2 linked regions of the Anolis sagrei genome follow. Each later gene encodes a partner of the first gene's protein in a complex. Links are inferred from orthologs where the notes say so. Each region holds a gene or a part of one and is shown on either strand. Other genes may lie near its edges.

Evidence for each region. The genes of interacting proteins can lie anywhere in the genome.
Region 2: the proteins of CKB (region 1) and ASB9 are in contact, whole or in part, in a cryo-EM structure (PDB 6V9H), measured with the Homo sapiens proteins. The link is inferred for Anolis sagrei from reciprocal best matches to the Homo sapiens genes CKB and ASB9. Residues at the interface, in NP_001814.2 of Homo sapiens: Asn63, Pro64, Gly65, His66, Pro67, Tyr68, Ile69, Thr71, Arg130, Arg132, His191, Val198, Ser199, Pro200, Leu201, Leu202, Leu226, Trp228, Glu232, Ile238, Met240, Asn286, Arg292, Gly303, Lys304, His305, Glu306, Lys319, Arg320, Gly321; in NP_001026909.1 of Homo sapiens: Leu25, Asn27, Pro28, Leu29, Met30, Gly31, Asp32, Ala33, Val34, Ser35, Asp36, Trp37, Pro39, Glu42, Ile45, His46, Trp60, Ala67, Asp68, His69, Glu75, Ala100, Asp101, Trp102, Val111, Asp133, Leu134, Ser165, His166.

The regions. Positions count from the first base shown.
Region 1 is NC_090021.1:327,581,129-327,588,970, reverse strand, and holds the start of CKB (creatine kinase B-type), read right to left. Parts: upstream 3,482-7,842; 5' UTR 3,342-3,481; intron 670-3,341; 5' UTR 647-669; coding exon 454-646; intron 1-453. UniProt on the Homo sapiens protein: Reversibly catalyzes the transfer of phosphate between ATP and various phosphogens (e.g. creatine phosphate).
Region 2 is NC_090023.1:90,862,798-90,871,440, forward strand, and holds the start of ASB9 (ankyrin repeat and SOCS box protein 9), read left to right. Parts: upstream 1-5,053; 5' UTR 5,054-5,272; intron 5,273-5,400; 5' UTR 5,401-5,469; coding exon 5,470-5,560; intron 5,561-8,643. UniProt on the Homo sapiens protein: Substrate-recognition component of a cullin-5-RING E3 ubiquitin-protein ligase complex (ECS complex, also named CRL5 complex), which mediates the ubiquitination and subsequent proteasomal degradation of target proteins.

The sequences.
Region 1 (7,842 bases):
TTTCGAACTGCTAGGTTGGCAGAAGCTAGGGCTGACAGCGGAAGCTCACGCCGCTCCCTGGAATCGAACCTGCGACCTTTCGATCAACAAGCTCAGCAGCTCACTGCGCCACTGGGGGCTCCCCATATATGTATATATATATATATATATAGGTTTATATACACATGGTAGGTCCAGGGTGGGAGAAAGAACTCACCTTACATTTATATTTATATTATATATATATATAATACCTCAATCTCTGAGCATGCCTGCCATAGATGTGGGCAAAACATACAGCCCAAAAAACTCACAGCAATTCAGGCCAATGCCCAAGGGTATTATGCAGCTAGGCCTCTTGAAGGTCTTATCAGGAGGTCTTTTGAGATGCCATTTTCAAAGCAGCACTTCCTCACTTAATGAAGGGAGAACAGATCCGGATCACAGAAGGGCCGCTGCCCCGGCATCCTTTACCTGGGTTGTCCACCCCAGTCTGAATCACATCGTCCACACAAAATCCGCTTGGAGTCACTCTATCCCGCAACTTGGTGTACAGCTCCAAGGTCAGCACTTTAGCCATATGGTTGTTGTGGGCGCTCAGATCTGGGTACTCATCCTCGGCGGAGTAGTTCTTCTTCAAGAGGTTGTGGCTGTTTGAGAATGGCATGGCGGGCCCCTGACTGCAAGGAGCTAAGAAGGGAGAAGAAGAGGAGAGGGGAAAGCTTAGCTGTGGGCTTGAGCTGCGGATGGGAGCTGGGCCTCGCAGCAAGGTCACCTTGTCTCCGGTACTGCGACCTGCCCAGGCAGGCACTCTCCCCGCCCGGCACCTGAGGATTGCCAGGCACTGGGCCAACATTCCCCTTCCGCCTCCTCTTCCTCTTGGCACCAGGAAGGGCCACACAGCAGGGACCGGCAGGAGGGATCTGCTCAAGGTCAAGAGCCTGGCTTGAGAGAGAGAAGAGGAGGCCAGGAATAGAAAGCGGCAGAGCTCTGTCTCTCTGAGCCTTGCCCCACTTCCTCCTTTCCTTGGTCCCAAAGGGTCACCTTCAAGGCAAGGGAGCAGACATGTTTTTGGAAAAGGATGGGTGGCTCTGGAATCCCTTGTTTCTGGAGAGTTGAAGCCCAAACTTGGACACTCTCTTTTGCATCCTCTTCCTCCTGGCCAGATGGTGCCACAGAAAAGGAGAGGAAGAGAGAGAGGGGACCCGCCCTGGTTTCTCCTGCCTCCAAAGCCCAGCCTCACTTACTCTCCTCGCTTTTGCAAGAGCGGAGAAGCCGGTTGGGGATGGATGCGTCCTGGGCAAAATTGGCAGTGAGGAATGCGCCAAGGAGGGTTCCCTCTCTCTCTCCAATCTTCCTCCCTCTAATCTCTCCTTGGTCCCTTTAAAGCAGGTGGATCTGACATCCCTGCAAACAGCCCAAGGGAAGGAAGGGTGTGGGGTGGAGACTCTCCCATTGCGCTTTGCTTGCCAAGAGCGCACGGCTGGCTTCTCCATTCCATTCCTTCCTTCCCTTTTCCTTCAAGACTGAGAGCCAAGGCATCTGAGGGACATTCTGGGGGCTCAAAGGCACATATGGGGCGGGCATCCTGATAAACAGCCCAAGGGGAAGGCAAAGGGAGGGAGATACCTCTCTCTATCGCAGGCATGGGCAAACTTGGGCCCTCCAGGTGTTTCGGACTTCAACTCCCACCATTCCAAACAGCCTCAGGCCCCTTCCTTTTCCCCCTCAGCCGCCCAGGTTTGCCCATGCCTCCTCTATCGCACTCCTTTTGACTCATCCAAGCTCTTCCTCCAGGAGCCCCCCAGGATGCAATGGGTTAAACTCTTCTGCCCACAGGACTGCTGACTAAAGGTTGGGGGTTCGAATCCAAGGAGAGCGGGTTGAGCTCCCTCTGTCAGCTCCAGCTTCCCATGCCAGGACATGGGAGAAGCCTCCCACAGGGATGGTAAAACATCCGGGCGTCACCTGGGCAACGTCCTTGCAGACAGCCAATTCTCTCACACGAGGATTTGAATGGGGGAGTGGGGTGAGCTTCCTTCTGTCAGCTCCAGCTTCCCATGCAGGGACATGAGAGAAGCCTCCCACAAGGATGGCAACGTCCTTGCAAACGACCAGTTCTCTCAAACCAGAAGCTACTTGCAATATTGGGGTTTGAATCTAGGAAGTGAGTTGAGCTCCCATCTGTCAGCTACAGCTCCCAAAAGGAAGATAAAAACATCAAACATCCGGGCGTCCCTTGGGCAACGTCCTTACAGACGGCCAATTCTCTCACACCACGATTTGAATGGGGGAGTGAGGTGAGCTTCCCTCTGTCAGCTCCAGCTTCCCATGCCGGGACATGAGAGAAGCCTCCCAAAAGGAGGACAAAAACATCAAAACATCCGGGTATCCCCTGGGCAACGTCCTTGCAAACGGCCAATTCTCTCACACCAGAAGCTACTTGCAATTTGGGGTTCGAATCCAGGAAGTGAGCTGAGCTCCCACCTGTCAGCTACAGCTTCCCATGCCGGGACATGAGAGAAGCCTCCCAAAAGGAGGATAAAAACATCAAAACATCCGGGCGTCCCCTGGGCAACATCCTTACAGACGGCCAATTCTCTCACACCACGATTTGAATGAGGGAGTGAGCTGAGCTCCCACCTGTCAGCTACATCCTCTGGGCAACGTCCTTGCAGACAGCCAAATTCTCTCACACCAGAAGCGACTTGCAGTTTCGCTCCTGACAGGAGAAGGAAAAAAAAAACCATGCTGTGGAAAGCACAGATAGGAGGAGAGGGGGAGAATTTCCCTGCAAGGTACACCTTCTCTAGGGGAGGACTGAGATAGGGAAGTCCTTGGGGCAAGGCTGGCTCTGGAAAGCAAGCCACTGAGAAGCTTCGGCTCCCTTTGCACCCATCCTTGGGGAAGATGGCCACTCCATCTCTTCCTCGCGCTCGCCCTCCAAGTGGAGGGAACGAAGGGGGAAAACGAAAGGGCGCTCCCGTTATGTAACGAAACTCCTCTCTGCTTGGCGCAGAGGAGGATCATGCCAACCCATCCCCTGCTTAAATGCCAATTCGGGGCCAAGGGATGGGAGAAGGAGGCAGCTTGAGCCCTGCAGGCAGGAGGCAAAAGAATGGGAACGAGAGTGGTCTTGCTCTTGCTTTTCAGAGCCAGGAAGAGAGTCAAGAGCAGCAGCATCTTCTGTCTCCCAACTCACCACGCCTTGGTTACTCTCGGCATCCTTTCCCTTCCCTTCTCCAAAACCCCAAAGCACATTGGCATGAAGAAGAGCAAGCATCGCAAGGTCATTGGCTCTCCCTTGGAAATGATAGGCTTCCTCCCCAAGACTCCTGGTTGACTTGCCTCCCAGCACTTACCGAGAGGGTCAGAGCAAGACAAAAGCGGCGCACTTGTGCCTCCTCGAGTGGGTGAGTGAGTGAGTGAGTGGAAGGAAGGAGGAACCCGGCTGCTCTTCCAGACAGACCTGCCTCGAATGGAGCCGTACCCCCGCCCTCCCTCCGCTTATATATCCAGCCCAAGCCAAGCACCCATTGGACACTATTTATATTCCATTCATTCCATTGGAGGCTTGCTCTCCAGGAGGAGGAGGAGGATGGAGGGAGGGAGAGAGAGGGCTCTGCTGGCCCAGTCGCTCCCAGTTTGCAGCCAGGCCTCCCAGTCAGGTGGAGAGGGAGAGGAGAAAGGAAGAGTCCCAGTCTTTTTGGGTTCCAATTCTGAAGGGAAGAAAGGGAAGGACATGGACCCTCCTCCTCCTCCAAGGAGACAAAGTGAGATGATGAAATAGCAAAGCCTTACAAAGGGAGATACTGCATCTCTGGGAGAAAGTAAACAAGGGTGGGTCCCAAGCTGGCAGGTGCTCTGGGAGCATGTACTTCTTTATTGACTGCATTTATATCTCACTTTTCTCTCCCTAAAGCAGTGTAAAAGGTAAAGGTAGTCCCCTGACATTAAGTCCAGTCATGTCTGACTCTGGGGTGTGGTGCTCATCTCCATTTCTAAGCCGAAGAGCCGGCGTTGTCTGTAGACACCACCAAGGTCATGTGGCCGGCATGACTGCATGGAGTGCCGTTACCTTCCCGCCGGAGCGGTACCTATTGATCTACTCACATTTGCATGTTTTTGAACTGCTAGGTTGGCAGAAAAAGCAGTGTAATGGCACACAAATAACTCAGCTGTTAAACTGAAGAACCATGTCTTTAAATAGCCAAGGATAAAGACATGCAATTACAAAAATATATTTGGTTAGCAGAGGATGGCTGTTTCTTTGAAGTTGAAGTTGCCCATCTACTCTCCCTTACAAAAACTCTTGTTTAAAACATGCACTCGGGAGACAAAACAAAGTAGTCTTTGAAAATAACATTTTGGGTTTACTAACAAACTTCTTGTATATATTCACCACACAGGCACATTTCTTATTAGAGTTCAGTTAGATAAGATATGGTCTCTTAAGTATGATACTTAGTCAATTGTCCACAGTCTTTAAATATAGCTATACTCACTGAAGTCTGAAAGTCATACTTCTCTACTAAAGTCCAAACAGCAACATGCATCCACCTCCACTGAGGTCTAAAAACCCCTAAAGCAGTGTTTCTTACTCTTCCTAATACTACAACCCCCTTAATACCCCCTCGTGTTGTGATAACCCCTCAACCATAAAATTAAGTTGATTTTATATAATACTTTAACTATTTTTCCCATGAAACAAAGTGTGTGTACACTGAACCATCAGAAAGGAAAAGCACCAATATCTCAGTCACTCATGTGGACTATTTCAGATTTAGGAGTATTTCCAATTTTGGAATTTTGCATAATCTTTAGCATAGTGTTTCTCAACCTTCCTAATGCTGTGGCCCTTTAATACAGTTCCTCATGTTGTGGTGACCCCCAACCATAACATTATTTTCCTTGCTACTTCCAGAACTGTAATATTGCTCCTGTTATGAATCGTAATGTAAATATCTGATATGCAGGATGTATTTTCATTCACTGGGCCAAATTTGGCACAAATATCCAATACATCCAAATTTGAATACTGGTGGCATTGAGGGGAATTTATTTTCTCATTTGTAGTTGCTGGGATTTATAGTTCACCTACAACCAAAGAGCATTCTGAACTCCACCAACTGACATAATTGAACCAAACTTGGCACACAAAACTCCCACAACTAACAAGAAAATACCGGAAGAGTTTGATATCGTTGACCTTGAGCTTTGGAGTTGTAGTTCACATATATCCAGAGAGCACTGTGGACTCAAACAATGATGGATCTGGACCAAACTTGGCACGAATACTCAATATGCCCAACTGTAAACACTGGTGGAGCTTAGGGAAAATCAATCTTGACATTTGGGAGTTGTAGTTGCTGGGATTTATAGTTCACCTACAATCAAAGAGCATTCTGAACTCCACCAACTGAGAGAATTGAACCAAACTTGGCACGCTAACCTCCCATGACCAAGAGAAAATACTGGAAGGGTTTGCTGGGCATTGACCTTGGGTTTTGGAGTTGTAGTTCACCTATATCCAGAGAGTACTGTGGACTCCAACAATGATGAATCTGGACCAAACTTGGTACAAATAATATGCCCAACTGTAAACACTGGTGGAGTTTAGGGAAAATAGATCTTGACATTTGGGAGTTGTAGTTACTGGGAATTATAGCCTACAATCAAAGAGCATTCTGAACTCCACCAATGATAGAATTGGGCCAAACTTCCCACACAGCACCCCCATACCTTGAAGGTACTTGCTGGTGCAAACCTCCCTTCAGCCTCACACGCTCTCCCTCGCCCACACATGCACACCATTCGCCAAGCACGCCTGCTCTCCCCTCCCCTCTTGAAGTCTCAGAAACAGCTCTTCCCTTGGCTGAGAGGCCAGTCAATCACAGCTGAGGGGGGCTTTTTGTGGGAGGATTCGCAGTCTGTTTCTAAAAAGGAAGAGAAGGACAGACGATGAGATCTTCAGCCTTCTCTGTCAAAAGGGTTCTTAAGACCATCAGAAATATATGTTTTCTGATGATCTTTGGCAACCTTTCTGAAACCCCCTTGTGACCCCCGTCCCAGGTCCTGACCCCCAGATTGAGAAACGCTGTCCTAAGGGAATTCAAAGCGGTTTCCAGCCTTATAAAGGCAACATGCTGTACATACATGTGAAAACCAAAATACTAATAGCAAGACAATAACATAACTATGAATTAAACCTAACCAAATTAAAATATAAACATAAAAGAGCATTTAGACATAAAGCATAAAAAATTACACATCGATAATATAATAACTTTTGTATTAAAACCCACTGATAAACACTATTTTAAAAGAGTTATTAAAATCACGCCATCCAAAATCAAGTCCAAGCGAACTGAAACACCTGAGTGAAATGACCATAGATAGCATCACATGAATGCCATGCCAGAAAGAACATGTCCCATTGGCCACCCTCCCTCTCTCTCTCCCTCCTTGGTTTCTATATTCTTGGGCAGGATTCGAATCCAGGCTGTAACACCTAGTAGGCTCTAGAAAGATGTTGGTGAAAGATGATGAAAATTATATAATTGCTGTATCCACAGAAAATACATTTCCAGACTGCATGGATATGCAAAAAATACGGATCATATCCAATTCTGTTGAATTGAAGGACTTCTGGCCCAAGAATACCACACAGTCCTGCTGGAGGAGGACTTAGAAAATGCCTAGAGAGGATGTATTTTGATGGATCAGGATAATTGAAACCATCGATACTGATCCTGCGGAAACAGGAGGCTGTGCTTTAGTATCATTTCCCTGCTAGTCAAAGACCATCTGGCAAAGAGGAATTACTTGGAAGGATTGACAGAATTATGGAAGGTATGTTGAAGCCTGTAAACCATGTTAGAGAGGGCAACAATCTGTGTGTGATGCAGGTAAACAATGTGCTAATGTGCAATGTAGTGCGGTAAACGTTCCAACCTCACCAAACTTTGACTGTGCTTTTCCTGCACAGTCCTAATGGCTAAGCGGGTTAAATCGCTGAGCTGAACTTGCTGACCAAAAGGTCGACAGTTTGAATCCGAGGAGCGGGGGCGAGCTCCCACTGATAGCCCCAGTGTCTGCCAACTTAGCAGTTTGAAAACATGCAAATGTGAGTAGATCAATGGGTATTGCTTCGGCGGGAAGGACCTTGGTATCCGCTGAGGTTTAGTTCCAGGACTCCTCATATATTCCAAAATCTATTCATGCTTAAAGATACCTGGTGGCATAGCGGGTTAAACCACTGAGTTGCTGAACTTGCTGACCAAAAGGTTGGCGGTTTGAATCCAGGGAGCGGGGTGAGCTCCCACTGCTAGCCCCAGCTTCTGCCAACCTAGCAGTTCGAAAACATGCAAATGTGTGTAGATCAATAGATACTGCTTTGGCGGGAAGGTAATGGCACTTCATGCAGCCATGCTGGCCACATGACCTTGGAGGTGTCTATGGACAACGCCGGCTCTTTGGCTTAGAAATGGAGATGAGCACCGCCCACCAGAGTCGGACACAACTAGACTTAATGTCAAGGGGAAACCTTTAGCTTTACTTCCTGCATGGCGGGGGTTGGACTAGATGGCCCATGTGGTCTCTTCCAACTCTATGATTCTAAGTGCCAGATTAAATTTAATTCATAACAACCAATCTTGCATCATCAGGTATGTGTTTTTGGAGCCCAAGTTTGTCGCATCTTGAGCTGCTTCTTCTGGCTCTATTGAGATTGCAGTAATTTTTTTAAAAAAGATCTGGGCTGAAATGCAAATAAGAGCTTTAAGGGATTGGGGCTAGCTGGACATACGCGTCATGTGAGTGATTAACTGCCTCTCTGTATAAACTTCACAGAAAATATCCACG
Region 2 (8,643 bases), on another chromosome or scaffold:
TAATTTCCTATTGGTTCTATCATAAAAACATGAAAAATGTTTATAAAACTTCGTTTTTGCGAGATATCCTTTAGCAATTTTGCTATATGTGTTGTCGAAAGTTTTCGTGGCAAGAATCACTGAGTTGCTGTGAGTTTTCTAGGGCATATGACTATGTTCCAGAAGCATTTTCTCCTGATGTTTCGCCTGCATCTATGGCAGGCATCCTCAAAGGTTGTGAGGTAAGTTGGAAACTAGGAAAGTGGGGTTTATATATCTGTGGAATGCCCAGGGTGGGAGAAAGAACTCTGTTTGTTTGAGGCAAGTGTGAATGTTGCAATTGGCTATTTTGATTAGAATTGGATGGCCTAGCAGCTTCAAGGACTGCCTGATTCCCGTCCGGGGGGGGGGGGGGGGGGCGGGGCGGGATATTTTGCCATAGTTTAAAAATGAATATCACCAAGGCTCCTTTTACAATGTTATATAATCCAGATTATCAAATCAGATAATCCACATTATCTGCTTTGAACTGGATTCTATGAGTCTACACTGCCATATAATCCAGTTCAAAGCAGATAATCTGGATTTTATGTGGAAGTGTAGAGGCTTAACCAATTCAACACAGTTTGTGGCAGCCACAAAAAATAAAGCTTCTGGAGTATAACAGCTAATTTCAAAGTAAGTACCACAGAATTAAACAGGAAATAACACTTTCAAACCAGAAACAGATTTCCTCCCCAAGTTTTGTTACATAGTGTAACTAATTGAAGATATGGGCTGTAGGACTAGGAGTGGACCTACTACTCAATGGCTAGACCAGTGTTTCCCAAACACTGGTCGAGATGCTAGTCTTCCAGATGTTTTAGACTTCAACTCCCAGAATCCCTGATCATTTCTCAAGGCAGCTGAGGCTACTGGGAGTTGAAGTGAAAAACTGGAAGACTAGAGTTTGGGAATACTGGGACTGCCTGTATATATAGTGAACATGGGATAAAGTTAAGGTTTCTATGTTACTCATGTCACGGGGACAAAATATACATGCTTAAAGTGCTCCTGTTCACTATTCCGATAATTCAGTGAGGTCCCTTAACTCTCTCCATCATATCTTTCTCCATCAGCAGTCCGCATTCTGTGATCCCTGAACATTGTTCTCAATGGAATATCTCAAAGTGCCCACGTATGGGGTGAAGGACACTACTTGTGGGCTTTACCTTATCACCACTTCTGCAGTCTTTCTGGCTTTATCAATCTGCTAATACACATGGCCAAATAAGCTAGATTTATTTGTGAGTGTGTGTGTATGGTGCTGTTATGGCCAGATAAGAGATAGCATTCTTTCCTGAACATCAAAGAAAATGGTAACTAGAACAGCAGAGAAAAAAGAGACAGAGCTTGGAAAAACTATCTAAATTTTTATGTGTTACTTGTTACTTTATAAGTAACTGTTAATTAATGTTTTACTAACACATTGCTTTTGGGTTACTATTTTCAAAACAAAAATCCTCTTAAAAATAGCAAAATGTTCCCATTGCCCTCAAATGTCCTCAGTGTTTTAGAACAAATATATTAATTAGTTTGATGTTACCAGTTGTTATATCATTACTCAAAGGGCCGCCTTTATGTCAGTTTCTTAAAAGATAAACATAATTCTGACTGGATTTCAAATCCATGGATTCTGCATCTACAGATTCAACCATAGACAGCTTGCATATATTTTAAAAGCCTCAAAGCAAACTTGATTTTACCAGCAAACATAGTAGCTGTAGCAGATGCTTAGGGATCCTTTTAAAGAAAGGGTTATAGTTCTGTGGGTCCACTTCAATAGTCATGGTTTTCTAGGATCAGCATGTTAGAAAGGGGTATTTAGACTTTTCACTCTAATGCCTCAACAAACTACGCATCCCAGGATTCCATGGAATGCAACTGTGGCAGTTGCAGTGGAATCATGCTGTGAGTACCAGGTAGTGTGCCAGGTATGAAGTGGGGGCAAATCATACCCTTTTTTTCTTTAGGTAGGATGGCAGACTGGGATTCACAGAGGTGTGAGCAGCTAGGTCGTGCACTTTAGGCCTATTACAGATGATATATGTATTTTATTTGTTCTGGTGGCTAGCAGATACAGCCATATTTTCTATGATTTCACTACAGTATGACCCCCCTCCCCCTCCATTTGTGGGGGGGGGGGGTAAGTTCCCTGACTTCATGTGGATACACAGAACCACAGATTATAGAGAACCCTATTGTATGAAGGTCTTGGACCAAGAATAGCATAAAGTCACACTGGGGAATCTAGAAAATGCCTAGATGTATTGATAAATGGAACTGGGGGGGAGGGGGCACTGATTTTGTGAATACATGTTTGTACTGCATTGTGTCCAAAGGTTCTTATGTTATTATAGTGTATGTTTACTTGATGCATAGCTTCCTTGGTTAATTAAACATGTGTATACCTAAATGCACCAGATTCCCTCTGATTTTGGAAGCTAAGCAGTCAATGCTAGTTAGCGCTTGGGTGGGAGACCACCAACAACCAAACCCTGATGGCGCAATTGGTTCAATCCTTGTGTGGGCAGGACTGCTGATCAACATGTCAGCAGTTAGAATCCGGGGAGAGCGTGGATGAGCTCCCTCTGTCAGCTCCAGCTCCCCATGCAGGGAAATGAGAGAAGTCTCCCACAAAGATGGTAAAACACCAAACATCTGGGAGTCCCCTGGGCAACGTCTTTGGAGACGGCCAATTCTCTCACACCAGAAGCGACTTGCAGTTTCTCAAGTTGCTCCTGACATTAAAAAAAAGCCCAACCTATTCCAGATACTGTAGGATATATTTCAATGGAAGGAAAGGCAAAAACTGTTCTGAGTATTCCTAATGTGAAATTAATGGGTCACCATATGTTGAAAGCCAACTTGAAAGCACATAAATGTATCCAAGTAGTGGTAAAAGGGGAGAAAGTGTTCAAATTTCAGCTTGTTGGACCAACATAAAACCTACCTTGAGGCATGAAAGAAAGCCTCCTACACCACCAAATTTCCCTCCCCTCTCCCACTCTGATACAGAATCCCAATGATAGATCTAGGGGTATCTATCTCACTTGACCCTTATTGTAGTTTTGCAAGTGTGCTGCTTCAGAATTGATTGATTGATTGATTGTATACATCTTAAGTCTCCTGTAAACTTATGAATTTTATAGGGTTTTCTAGGGCAAGGAATAATCAGATGTGGGGCCCTTTCACACAGCCATATAACCCAGAATATCAAGGCAGAAAATGCCACAATGTCTGCTTTTAACTGGGTTATCTGAGTCCACATTGCTTTATATTCCAGTTCCAAGCAGAAAATGTGGGATTTTATTCAGCTGTGTGGAAGGAGCTGTGATTTTGTCAGTTGTTTACTCTAAAATATACCGCACAGCAGCAGGTATTTGTTGTAAGTCTCCCATACAAGTAGTAACCAAAACTGATCCTGTTTAGCTTCAAATGGGATTTGGTGCCTTTAGGGCATGCATCTAGGCCCTTATGTGATTGATTAGAGTGATAAAATATTTTTTTTATTTCTCCATTTTCTAATTGTGTTTTTGTTCTAATGCTGCCTTGTAATTAATTTGAAGCTAACCATCCTGCCCCAGCATGGGAGATAATGTGTCACTGACATGTAGCATTCTACTGAACTAACCTTGCCATACTGTGTCTCCAGCATCCTTCCAGAGATCCCTTTCTTTTCCTATGGCTCAGCCAAGGTCATGCGCTAGGTCTTTCAATTTCCATTTTGTGGTGTATGGGGAGTTGCTAGCTATCTTCAAAAGGCTGCAAAGTGCATAAGCCTGCTATAGACTTAATAGTTTCTACTTAACAAAATAGCAGTCCTCCTACGAAGAGAAATAAATGAATGGGAGTGTTACCGCTATCATTTTAATGAGTCTCTGTGCTTGAATGACACTCCAACCACATCAGTTATTTCTTGCCTGAGATATTGCATAGGATATTACATACAGTCTGCCTGTCACATTTGCAGATTTAACTTTTGTGATTATTTGAGGATGTGCTTAAGATGTTCTTTTTAGGCATCTCCAAGTCCTTCTGCGTGATTTCACCCATATAGTTGTGACAAAGGACCTAGAAAATTCCTAGAGTAGGTCCTCCAGAGTGATTCAATTTCCAGCAGAGGTTGAGTATTGAGTTGTGCTGGAGGACCTAAAGCAGTGGTTGTTAACCTGTGGGTCGCAGACCACCAGTGGACTGTGAGGACGAAAATCTGGTCCGCGAGCCTCCTTCCTCTTTATTTTATTTCCACTCTTTTCCCACTACCTGCCACTCCTTCCCTGTCGCTGACCGTGGCATATGTTCTGTATCAGAAACTAGAGCTGATATGGTCTATCCAATGCAATTTTCTGAATGAGCACCCCAAACTGAAATCTAAAGTTGACCAAAAACTGATCCGTAACTCTTTTGCTACTAATGTTGGAGAGTGGTCTCTGGTCAAAGTGGTCCCTGGTCCGCTTTGGGAACCATTTGACCTAGAGAGATATTCTCTAAGGGAAGAAAAATAGCATTTTTTAATTTGCAGTTCTACTTTTGTAGAGGTCTTGCATTCCTAAATCCAGAGAATGTGACGGGTCTGACTGTATGGAACAGCAGCTTAATAAAGAAGTGTGCCCAATATTGTACTGTGACTGCTACAGGCCAACCTGACCCAAACTAGTGGTTTTTTGGTTGCTGGACTACATATGCCATCACCCCCGAGCCACATGATGGTATTTTTAATCCAATATGTCTCGCTAATGCCCTGTTGGAGAAAACTGCCATGTGGATTGTTATAGGATTTGCTGAAAACACAGAGTTTGCAACATGTGGTTTCAATATTATCAGCCTTGTATGATAATTGCTTTTCTGTGTGGAAAATAACTCAGTTTGCCATTTCTGCATGCTGCTTTCAAACGCCTGCAATGGTATGTCTTAAAAGCAACTTAATCGGTGATAATGCAGGGCAGGACTCTCCCTTCCTCCTATTTTCCTGCTTTTTCCTCCCTGCCTCCCCCTCTTTCTGTTATATATCCCCTGCAGGCAGAGTTTGCTGAGCTAGTTAAACTGGCTCTTTCTGTCTTGTGCATTTTTTTTTGGCAACAGAGAAGTTCCTCTTTTATAAAAACAAGCAGGCAGACTGTCTGATTGGCCATGAGTTTGGAAAGGATATGACATCAACCACATCCCTCACTTTGTTCTGTGTGCCTGAAATCTTTTTCCACTTCTTTTACTCAGCCAATGAAGAGGTGTTCTGTTAAACTGCAATACCAAGGTATTTGGGTTGCTCTGGACTTGGGTCTGGTATTGATGTTCCAGTCTTCGACCAAGTGTTATTTTAAACCCACCCACAGATTTTTTAAAATAAATCACTCATTGGAACATGTTTGTTTTCCTCAACAGGCAAGATGGTATTTGAGCTTGCAAGATCTCAAACTGTGAAGTGAAATAACAGTATTCAGGCGAGTTGCAATGGAAGGAGCAAATGCAGATTCTCATTCATCCCAAGGATCAGAAAGCCAGTCTCATCATGTACCTTTGCGACCGAATCCATTGATGGGTGGTGAGTAATCTTGCTGTATGTAAAAGAAAGTGTTCATAGTGGAAAGGCCATGGGAGATGTGTTAGGATAACTTAACTGCTTTGTATTTATTTAGAAACTTTGCATGCCACCCTTGATGTTATATCAAGTTGTTTACACCGCAAAGGAATAAATAGTAGCAATGAAATGCAAAAACATACGTGGAGCAGGAATAGAAAAAGTTGTGCGAAGTTGTGTGAAGATATGTTATGCTACCCTTGATGATATATAAGTGATCTGCAGTACAAATTACAGTGAATAAATACAGACAATATAAATATGAAATGCAAAAAATCATATATATATAAAAATCATATATAAAAAGTTACTGTGGCTGTAATCCCTATGCGGTTTTAGCTGGGAAAATGCACCCTTCCAGTCAATAAGACTTAAGTTCTGAATAGACATGCATAATAGGACTGAGCTGTAAAATGCTTAATACAACAGTGGGCTATGCACAATAACACTATAGAGCAGGCATGGGCAAACTTCACCCCTCCAGGTGTTTCGGATTTCAACTCCCACAATTTCTAACAGCCGGTAAGCTGTTAGGAATTGTGGGAGTTGAAGTCCAAAACACCTGGAAGGCCGAAGTTTGCCCATGCTTGCTATAGAGCCTGCTTTCTTTAAAATAAAGCAACCCTGAGAGACATAAAAGTCTGACTCATGAATTGCTTTGTGAAGTTGCCCTGCTGCTAGATGTGTATTTGTATTAGATGGCATGATGTGATGACCAGATTCATAGCTGTGCAATTAGTTTGGGGAAAGGGGGGTTATTTTTCCCAAAACAGTTGGTGTTCCCTTATAAAGGATGTTCTTTTTGCAAATAGGTGATTTGTTGCTTTTTAAATGACATGACTAAATATCACATTTATAGTTTTTTGTGAACTTTTTTTGTGTGTCAGGAGCAATTTGAGAAACTTTAAGTTGCTTCTGATGTAAGAGAATTGGCCGTGTGCAAGGACATTGCCCAGGAGACACTCGGATGTTTTACCATCCTATGGGAGGCTTCTCTCATGTCTCCACATGAGAAGCTGGAGCTGACAGATGGAAGCTCACCTCGCTCCCCACATTCGAATCATTGACCCTTCGGTCGGCAATCTTGCCGGCACAAGGGTTTAACCCATTGTGCCACCGAGGGCTTCTTTTGTGAACTTACCATATATATACATATAGTCAATTCATCAAAGTTGCCTACAAATATTTATATGATAAGACTTCCTATTTACAATATTAAAATTCTCATCACATCTAATTGTGATCCGCACTCTCTCATCTCTGGACTCTGTGGTAACTTTATGCACTCTAGATATGCCTTTTTTTCTCTTTGTGTCAGAAGTGACTTGAGAAATTGCAAGTCGCTTCTGGTGTGAGAGAATTGGCCATCTGCAAGGACGTTGCCCATTGTGCCACCGGGGGGCACCTTCTAGATATTCTGGAACCCTACAGTCATTATCCTCAGCCATTATATCCATGTCCAATGACCTTGCTGACTGGGGATGCTGGAAACCCCAGTGAGTAGAAGAGGACTATTCTGTAGTCATCCTCCAATGTTGACTTTGTAGATTGCAAGGTATTTGGGAAGATATCTGTTTTGCTTCTATAAAGAAAGTACCGTTATACACAGATAGTCCCCCTTATCTGCAGGGGACATGTTGCTAGACTGTGTAGATATGTGAAACCACAGATAATAGACTACACTGATGGTGTCTTTGTCAACATGTTAAGTCTGTAACATCAATACAAAACAAAACAAAAAAAGACCTTTCCATATTGGGGCTCATTTCGCACTACATAGTGGTTTCACTTTAGCTACTGTGACAACTTCCCAAAGAATTCTGGAACATGGAGTTCAGAAAGCGGTATCTGACTCTGGAAGGTAAAGGTAAAATTTTCCCCTGACATTAAGTCTAGTCGTGTCCAACTCTGGGGGTGGTGGTGCTCATCTCCATTTCTAAGCCGAAGAGCCATTGTTGTCCGTAGACACCTCCTGACTGCATGGAGCACTCTTACTTTCCTGCAGAAGCAGTACCTATTGATCTACTCACATTTGCATGTTTTCAAAGTGTTAGCATGCAGAAGCTGGGCCTAACAGCGGGTGCTCACCCTCTCCCTGAATTCGAACTGCCAACCTTTCGGTCAGCAAGTTCAGCAGTTCAGTAGTTTAACCCACTGCGCCACCCTTTACCTTGGAAACCAGGGTTCAAACAGCTGTTCACCCATGAAAACCCACAGGGTCCCATTCTCTGAGCCTCAGAGAATGGCCATCGCAAACTCTTCTGAATAAATCTTGCCAGTGATAGTGTCACTTTAGGGTTTCCATAGGTTGGAAACAACTTAAAGCCATACAGCAACGATTCCAAATGTAGAATGGGACTTTCTAACTTTTATTTCACTTGGAGCTTTAAATTTGTTCTGTTATGATGTGATTTAGGTGCATTTTAAATTTTACATTTGTACCCTGCTTTGAGGAGCCCCTGGTGGCAGAGTGGGTTAAACTGCTGAGCTACTGAACTTGCTGACCAAAAGATCAGCATTTCAAATCCGGGGAGTGGGGTAAGCTCCAGCTGGTAACCCCAGCTGCTACCAACCTAGCAGTTTGAAAACATGCAAATGTGAAGAGATCAATACCACTCTGGCAGGAAGGTAACTGCGCTCCATGCAGTCATGCCAGCCACATTACCATGGAGGTGTCTATGGGCAACGCTGGCTCTTGGGCTTAGAAATGGAGATGAGCACCAACCCCCAAAGTCAGACATGACTGGACTTAATGTCAAGGGAATACCTTTACCTTATCCTGCTTTGTCTCCAGTAAAGCAATGCATTATGACATCATTATAAAGCATATTAAATTAAATTAAAGCACTTTCACATTCATCAGGTGGCTAGTGATAGAATCATTTTTTCCATGGAAATACAAGTCTTTAGTGGCAAATGGCTAATCCTGTGTGAATTTTATCTTGACTTTCCTGTTAATTTGGTGGAGAAACAGTGCATGAGGACTCAGGCTAAGGCCTTCTTTGAATTCTTTCACATTATACACTTATATCAGTATTATTTTGCTG